Linked DNA regions of Sus scrofa. The protein of the gene in region 1 purifies or fractionates together with the protein of each later gene. This does not show direct contact. Links are inferred from orthologs where the notes say so. Each region holds a gene or a part of one and is shown on either strand. Other genes may lie near its edges.

Region 1 (3,500 bases):
TTCCTCACTGATCTCTAATGACCTTTTACTATCATGAAACAGATTTCAATGTGGGGCTTTCTATTCTGTTCCTTTGGTCAGTTCATCTGTCTCTATGCCAAGACATTTTATCTTAATTACTGTAGCTTTGTATTAGTAGCTCTTGATTTGTTAAGCAGATCCCTCCATCTTGTTATTCTTTTTTTTTTTTTTTTTTTTTTTTTTTGCTTTTTAGGGCCGCACCCTCAGCACATGGAGGTTCCCAGACTAGGGGTCCAGTCAGAGCTACAGCTGCCAGCCTGCAACACCAGCTCCTTAATCTGCTGAGTGAGGCCAGGGATCGAACCCACAACTCATGGTTCCTAGTTGGATTCGTTTCCACTGTGCCACAATGGGAACTCCATCAAATGGCATTTTTTTTTTTTTTATTGTGGTAAAATATGCATGACCTAAAATCTGTCATTTTAATGCTTTTTACATGTACATTTTGGTGGCATTGGTACCTTTGCATTGTACAACTATTACCATTATCCATTTCCAGAATTTTTCATCATCGCAAACTGAAACCCAGTAAACAGTACCCCCCTTCCACCCACCTCTAGTAAACCACTCTTCTGCTTTGTTTTTTTTCTGTGAATTTGACTAGTCTAAGTACCTCATGTAAGTAGAATCATAAATGGGGCGTTTTAAAAAATATTTTTATCTCATTTGGAATGAAGAAACTAATTCTATTTAATTGGTTTTTTACTTTAAGCAACCTTGCTTAAAATGCTTTATTCTAAACACTTAGCTGTATTCAGGAGTTCCTATTGTGGTGCAGCGGAAACGAATCCAACTGGGAATCATAGAGTTTCGGGTTTGATCCCTGGCCTCACTCAGTGGGTTGAGGATCTGGCCTTGCCATGGGCTGTGGTGTAGGTCTCAGACGAAGCTCTGATCTGGCGTTGATGTGACTGGCCTAGGCCAGCAGCTGCAGCTCCAATTGGATCCTAGTCTGGGAACTTCCATATGCCACAAGTGTGGCCCTAAAAGGCAAAAAAAAAAAAAAAAAAAAAAAAAATAGCTGTATTGGGGTTTTCTATACAAATAAGTATGTCATATATGAATAAAAGGCTTTCCTACCATTAAACCTGCCCATTGAGATTTAAATTGTAATTAATTTTTTTCTTTTTACATTTAGACATTTGGTTCATTTTGTTTTCTTTCCTTTTATTCTGGGCTGCACCAGTGGCATTCAGAAGTCCCTGGGCCAGGGATCGAACCTGAGCCACAGCAGTGACAACTCTTGAGTCCTTAACTGCTAGGCCATCAGGGAACTCTTTGGCTCATTTTCATATCTGTTGGTTGCCTCTTTTTTTTCAAGCTCCTTTTAAATGTTAAGTATATTTGGTATTCAATTCTGATACAAACCTTTGCCAGTCTGATTCCACTCTCTGTTTCTGCTACTTCTTTCTGATGGTGTTTTTTTGTTGGTGGTGGTATCTCGTGTATGAACTCTTATTCCTTGGAATTTTGTTTCTGCCAGATGCTTGGCGGCAGTTCTAGTTCAGGATCACTTTAAGTTAAATTCTTGAAAGTTCCCTTGTGGTGCAGTGGGTTAAAGATCTGGTGTTGCCACAGCTGTGGCATAGGCCACAACTTCAACATGCTTTCACTTCCCTGATCTGGGAACTTCTGTATGCCGTGGCCAAAATAATAATAATAATAATAATAATAATAATAAAATAAATTCTTCACCAGAAACCATTTGGAAGTCTGAATTTAGGCTCTTTACTTATAACCACAAACCAGCCCAGACTTCTTATAAGTCTTTTGTTGTTTTTTGTTTTTTGTTGTTTCGTTTTTTTGTTGTTGTTTCGTACCTAGTGGGAGGAGAATTTCACAGGCGAGTTTTGTAATCCCTAAGGAGGATTTTTAGCTCACCTGTATACTGAGGGTATATTAGCGTCTAAGCTTTGTAAGGAATTGCCTATCAGACACCCCACCATGGTAGACATTGGTGTTTGCTTCCTATGCTTTGTTTTTCCTGTAATACTGTGAAAATCTAAGCTCAGATTTTTCCAGGTAGATGCCCACCTCCTTTAGTGATTCCAGTTACCTGTTCCTCTTTCACTTGGTTTTTTATCCTCTTCCTAGTTCATCAAGACATTTGAAAAGTTGTTCTACATTTTGTCAGACATGAAGTTATTTTCATTAGGAGTGTAAATCCAGTAATAAATCCACTATATTGTTGAAAGTTCCCATATCATTTTACTATGTTGTTTCTAGTCATTTTGGAAAGGAAATATGGGGTTAGAAGTGCAGCTTTATAAAAATGAAATGGAGAATGGCCTTTTATGACTGCTAATTAATACTATTTCTTTTTCCTTATAGGTGTCAGCTGTGATGCATGTTTAAAAGGAAATTTTCGAGGTCGCAGATATAAGTGCTTAATTTGCTACGATTACGATCTTTGTGCATCTTGTTATGAAAGTGGTGCAACAACAACAAGGCATACAACTGACCACCCAATGCAGTGCATATTAACAAGGGTAGATTTTGGTACGTATTTATTTAAAATTCTGAATTATCATTTAGAATTGTGTGTATGTGTGAAGAAGTAAAGGCACAGTATTCTAACTCATTCCCAGTAGCATATGTGAGGCACCAAATTCTCTAAAAATAACATGAATCTTACTTTCATATTCCAAGTAATTATTTATCTTAATCATAGTTTATTTATGAAAGCCATTTGGAAATAAATACAACTGGCAAAGTATGAAATAGAAGAGTGCCTCAGTAAAGAAGGAATAAAGCTTAAACTGATTGTTCTTGCTAACAGTACACAAGTATTATTGCTCTAGTTATCAGGAAGCAGGTTATTTCTGCTGTTGATGCACTGTCAGCTAATAAGAAAAGCTTTAAATATTACCATGCTGTAATTTCTTACTTAGCACTTGTTACTCTCTGTCTTTTTTCAATTTAGATACACCTGTGGCATGTGGAAGTTTCTGGGCCAGGGATCAACCCATGCTGCTGCAGTGACAGTGCCAGATCCTTAACCCACTGCACCACAATAGAACTCCTATTATCTGTCTTCTTTGATTTGATTATAGCCATCCTAGTGGGTGTGAAGTTGTGGTGTCTCATGTAGTTTTGATGCTTGGTCATATTGACCATCTTTCCCTGTGCTGATTAGTTATGTGTATAAATGTCTATTCAGATCCTCGGCCCATTTTTTAATGGGGCAATATATCTTTTATTATTGAGATTTCATTGTTCTTTGTATATTCTGTATACAAGTTCCTTACAGATGGATGGTTTGCAGAAATTTTCTCGCATTCTGTGGCTTATCTTTTCCCTTTCTTGATGGTATGTTTTGAAGCACAAAAGTTTTAATTTTGATGTTAATTTTGGGGGGGGGGTGTCGTATCTAGGAAACCATTACCTAATCCAAGATCATGAAGAATTAAAACTGTGTTTTCATGTAAGAGTTTTATAATTTTAGTATTTACATTTAGATTTTGATACATTTTGAATTA
Region 2 (4,271 bases), on another chromosome or scaffold:
AAATGTGATGAAAATGGTGGATCCTTATGGCCAGTAGTTTGGTGGGAGATAGATACATTTTTTTTTATTGACACACCCAACAGCATATACTATTTCAGATGATTCACAGATCACCCCCTTTGACACCCCCATGTGCCTCTAGATTTAAAAAATTCTGAGGCAGACCAAACTCCTGAAAAAACTGAGGCCCAAAGGAATTAGATGACTTTCCCACTGTCAGTCAACTGGCACAATGGATAGAGCCCAGTTCTTGTGACCCCAACCCCCACTCCTTACACTTACACACACGCACACACAAGCACACAGGTGCAGGGTAGCTGCTCTTTTCAGTCTCAGGCTACTTCCCTTTATTTAGGAAACACTGAAGTGGAGGGAGCAGAGTGGTTTAATCACTGCCCAACACCTCAGGACCTTAAGGTTACTGGCTTATTCCCTGAAAAGCCCTCAGGAGTTTTACCAACAACAAATCCTCTGGATGTTTAGAAGAAACTGTCCAGAGGCCTTTAGGACAGTCAGGTCCTAGGACCCCATGACTGAACCTTTCCAATTTCAAAAGGAGACCAAGGAGCCCAACCTCTCCATGGCTAGCCAACGGAGTCACAAAAGTCACCTGAAGATATGAACAAAAGCGTCTTAGCTGTTCTAGATTCCAAGCTTACAATGAGTGTCTGGGAAGAATTTTCAGTACAACAGGCAATGCCACTCATATGACCACCACTCTGGGAAAATGCCTCAATTTAGAGACTAAAAAAATTCAGGTAACTCTTTTGTGAGCCGGGGGAAAAAAGTTACAAAGACTGCCCACCAGTCGAATGACCTAATCATCTTAGCCTGTATTAATTTATGTACTCTTTCTCTCACTAGACACTAAAGGAATACCTTCTTAAGGTTCAACAGTTCTCACAAAAAAAGGAATGGCAGGCTGACAGGAGTTCAGTGCAAAGACAGAGGACTTCCAAATTGAGGGAGAGGAAATCAAGACAGGTTTCCTGGGAGAAGGCACATGGTCAAAACCCCTGGAGCTTGTGGAAGCCTGTCATGCCATGTCCAATGCAAGCTGAAGCCAACTGTGGCCCTTCTTGCAATGACCTTCAACCTGTCTTCAAATAGTGTAACAAAGTAGGAGTTCCCATAGTGGCTCAGCGGTAACCAACCCGACTAGAATCCATGAGGACACGGGTTCCATCCCTGGCCTTGCTCAGTGGTTTAAGTATCCACCTTTGCTGTGAGCTGTGGTGTAGGTCGCAGACTCAGCTCAGATCCTGCATTGCTCTGTCTTTGGCGGAGGCCCGCAGCTGTAGCTCCAATTTGACCCCTAGCCTGGGAACTTCCATATGCTGTGGGTGCGGCCCTAAAACACACACAAAAAAAAAAGTATAACAAAGTAAGTGAGAGAGAGGAGGAGGAGCCTTTTTCAACTGACAGCTAGGTGCACAGGGACAATTAGAGAGCTCAGAGCTCCAGGGCCCCCAAAAGAACTGATGGGGGACATTGTTGGTTGGAACCACTGTGGGCCACACCAAGAGGGCTGGCTTACCTGTACGGGGATGAATTCAGAAGCTGAAACAGGGGTGAGCCCCCTGGGACTCAACCAGACAGAAAGAATTTGGAACAGCTGGAGTGATCAGATGAAGGGGCCTTGGGAGGGGGAGCAAGACGTGCCCCGAGTTCAAAGTCCTAGGCCTTCACCTGGCAAGCTGGGGCAAAGACTTAAAAGAAAAAAGCATCCTCTTTTGTCCAAGGGGCCCAAACAAAGCCACTCCCCGCACCTAGCCTTAAGGGTCCTTTCTGTTCATCAAGGGTAAAGTCAGCGCCAAGGGCACACAATCCTGAGGCCCTGAGAGCACAAAAGGTGCCCTACAATCTCTGCCCACATTACAACACATTTTAGTCAGAGTCCGCGTGGGTCAAGAGTCTTTAATGTTCTCCAGAGGAGGGTTGATGGCTGGAAAAGTAATGTGGAACTCTAAATACCAGCTTTCTGACAAGGCGCTAACCCTAAACCACACCCCGAAGAGCAAGGAGAAAGAAATGTCAGGGAACACCACCAACTTTCTCCCTTATAGCGCCGCTTCACTTTTAATATCAAACTCAGGGCTACAAAGCGCCAAGGGGAGGAGCGCAGTAGCCCTCCCCAAGCCAGCGGGGTCCCGGTAGGCGGTGGGCTGGCGCCCTTCCCCACCCGGCCCCATTTTCTGCCCCAAAGCCCCAAGCATGAGCCCCGCCCGCCGCGGCCCACTCCTTCCGTCGGTGCCAGCTAGCAGCGTGGAGGGCTGCCGTGGGCGCCTCTCGGTCCATTCCCCGCCAGCCCCCCCGGCGACCTACCGCAGCGCCGCCCGCCTCATTGCGCTCTGCCAGAGAGACCTGGGCCCCGCGCGCCGGTGGAGGGAAACTGAGGCAATGGAGAGCTCGAGATGGAGAGACAGAGAGAGCACGCGCGCCAGACCGGACCTCGCTCCCCAGGACCGCACCCTTACAGCCCGGCCGCGGGATGGGGGGGCGAGGAGGGACGGCCACGCTGCCCGGGGCGGGGTCTCGTTCGGGGGCGGGGCCACGCTGCGCCTGCCTCCCGGCTCAAGAGCGTGAAGCTTGAGTTTATCTTTGTTGCTTCCCCGCCGTGGTCAGCATCGCGGGGCATGTTGCTACCTCGGGGACTGGCCCATCTCCTCCATGGTTGATGAAATACACCGGGCAGCACCGCCAGGCCGTGACGTAGGGGCGAAGTGCGACCGCGTCCTTAAAAGCTTGTCACCGTTTTCCGGCTTCGCTGAAGGTCACAAGACCTTAACCCCCACCCCTCGGCCTCAGGTCCGCCCTTAGCTGCACGTAGGAATCTAATGGGCAGCTTTCCAAAATACCAATGCCTGGGCCCCACCCTCTGGAGATTCTGATTTAGTCAGGGGTGCGGCCTGGTCTTCAGGATGTCTAAAGGCGCCCTCGGTGATGCTACCCTAAGCAAAAGCTGAGAATTTCTGACGGAAAAGGAAAAAACGTTCCTCTTCTAATCTCGGTCTGCCCCCTAGTGTTTGACAGCTGGAGATCTTGGGCCGCCCGGAGAGATTCAAGGCCAGAGAGTTAAGATGATTTTACCCTATGATCTGATTCTCCATTTCATTCAACGAATTCTTATTCAAATAGCTGTTTGCAGTGCGCAGGACGCTGTCTGAAGATTCTGGACATGCAACAAATTTGACAAACTCTCTACCGTTAGGGGGCTTACCTTAGCAAATTATAATTTCAAATGTGATAAAGCCATCTAAAGAGGAAATAAAATAATGTAATGAGAGGGGATCTTTCCAGAGTATGTATGCACGTCTTGGAAGATGGTAATTTCCTAAAAGGCAGGGTCGATATTATATGCTTTTTCTGATAACACCGTGCTTACAAAAAAATTGTGAATTTTAATTAAGCTGGCTTTAAAAAAAATTACTTCATGAATTACAAATGAAACATGATCTTTGGCTTCCTCTTTCCTCTTCACCTAACTTTCCCTTCTTTTATCAGTCCCACATCCAGAAGACTCTCCTTTTGGCCTGCAGGAATCTCACTTTGCTTTTTGTTCATACTGTCTGTACCTTTTTCAGTGATGACTTTGTTTTGCTTTGTGGCAGCTATACTGAAACCGAGCAGGACCCTATAGTGCCTTACCAGGGACAGTTCCTACCCCACCCCACACGGTTTCCCCTGCCTCTGGTTTATAGAAAAGCTTTAGCATCCTAGACTTTCCCCAATACCAAGGAGCAAATTTAATCATAGAAGTGAGAAAATGCAGAAACAAAGGAAGACGAGCAAGCAAGACCAAATAATAATAGTTTAGCCATAAAGCAAAGGCAAGGATCTTTAGTTCCTCCTCAAGAGATATAAATAGGAGTTCCTGCTGGGGCAAAATGGGTTAATGATCCGGCTTTTCTCTGTGGCAGCACAGGTTCGATACCTGGCCTGGTGCGGTGGGTTACTGATTCCGTGTTTGCTTCAGCTGTGGCATAGGTGGCAGCTCCGGCTCAGATTTGACCTTGGCCCAGGAACTTCCATATGCTACAGGTGCGCCCGAGGGGGTAATAAAAAGAGCTATAGATACTATCCTGAACCATGTCCTTGATTTGTTTTGCAGATACTAAAACCCTCATCTGGAGTTCCTGTCGTGGCTCAGTGGTTAATGAATCCCACTAGGAAACATGAGGTTGTGGGTTCGATCCCTGCCCTTGCTCAGTGGGTTAAGGATCCGTCGTTGCTGTGAGCTGTAGTGTATGTTGCAGATGCAGCTCGGATCT

The links.
Region 2: the proteins of KCMF1 (region 1) and ACOT9 purify together in Homo sapiens (affinity purification with mass spectrometry; 3 studies listed by BioGRID and IntAct, with this or other methods). This does not show direct contact. The link is inferred for Sus scrofa from reciprocal best matches to the Homo sapiens genes KCMF1 and ACOT9.

Annotation. Positions count from the first base shown.
Region 1 is NC_010445.4:59,652,938-59,656,437, reverse strand, and holds part of KCMF1 (E3 ubiquitin-protein ligase KCMF1), read left to right. Parts: intron 1-2,352; coding exon 2,353-2,520; intron 2,521-3,500. UniProt on the Homo sapiens protein: E3 ubiquitin-protein ligase which accepts ubiquitin from an E2 ubiquitin-conjugating enzyme and then transfers it to targeted substrates, promoting their degradation by the proteasome.
Region 2 is NC_010461.5:19,859,262-19,863,532, forward strand, and holds the start of ACOT9 (acyl-coenzyme A thioesterase 9, mitochondrial), read right to left. Parts: upstream 2,801-4,271; 5' UTR 2,673-2,800; coding exon 2,647-2,672; exon of another isoform or gene 2,346-2,646; coding exon of another isoform or gene 2,326-2,345; intron 1-2,325. UniProt on the Homo sapiens protein: Mitochondrial acyl-CoA thioesterase. Catalyzes the hydrolysis of acyl-CoAs into free fatty acids and coenzyme A (CoA), regulating their respective intracellular levels. Regulates both mitochondrial lipid and amino acid metabolism.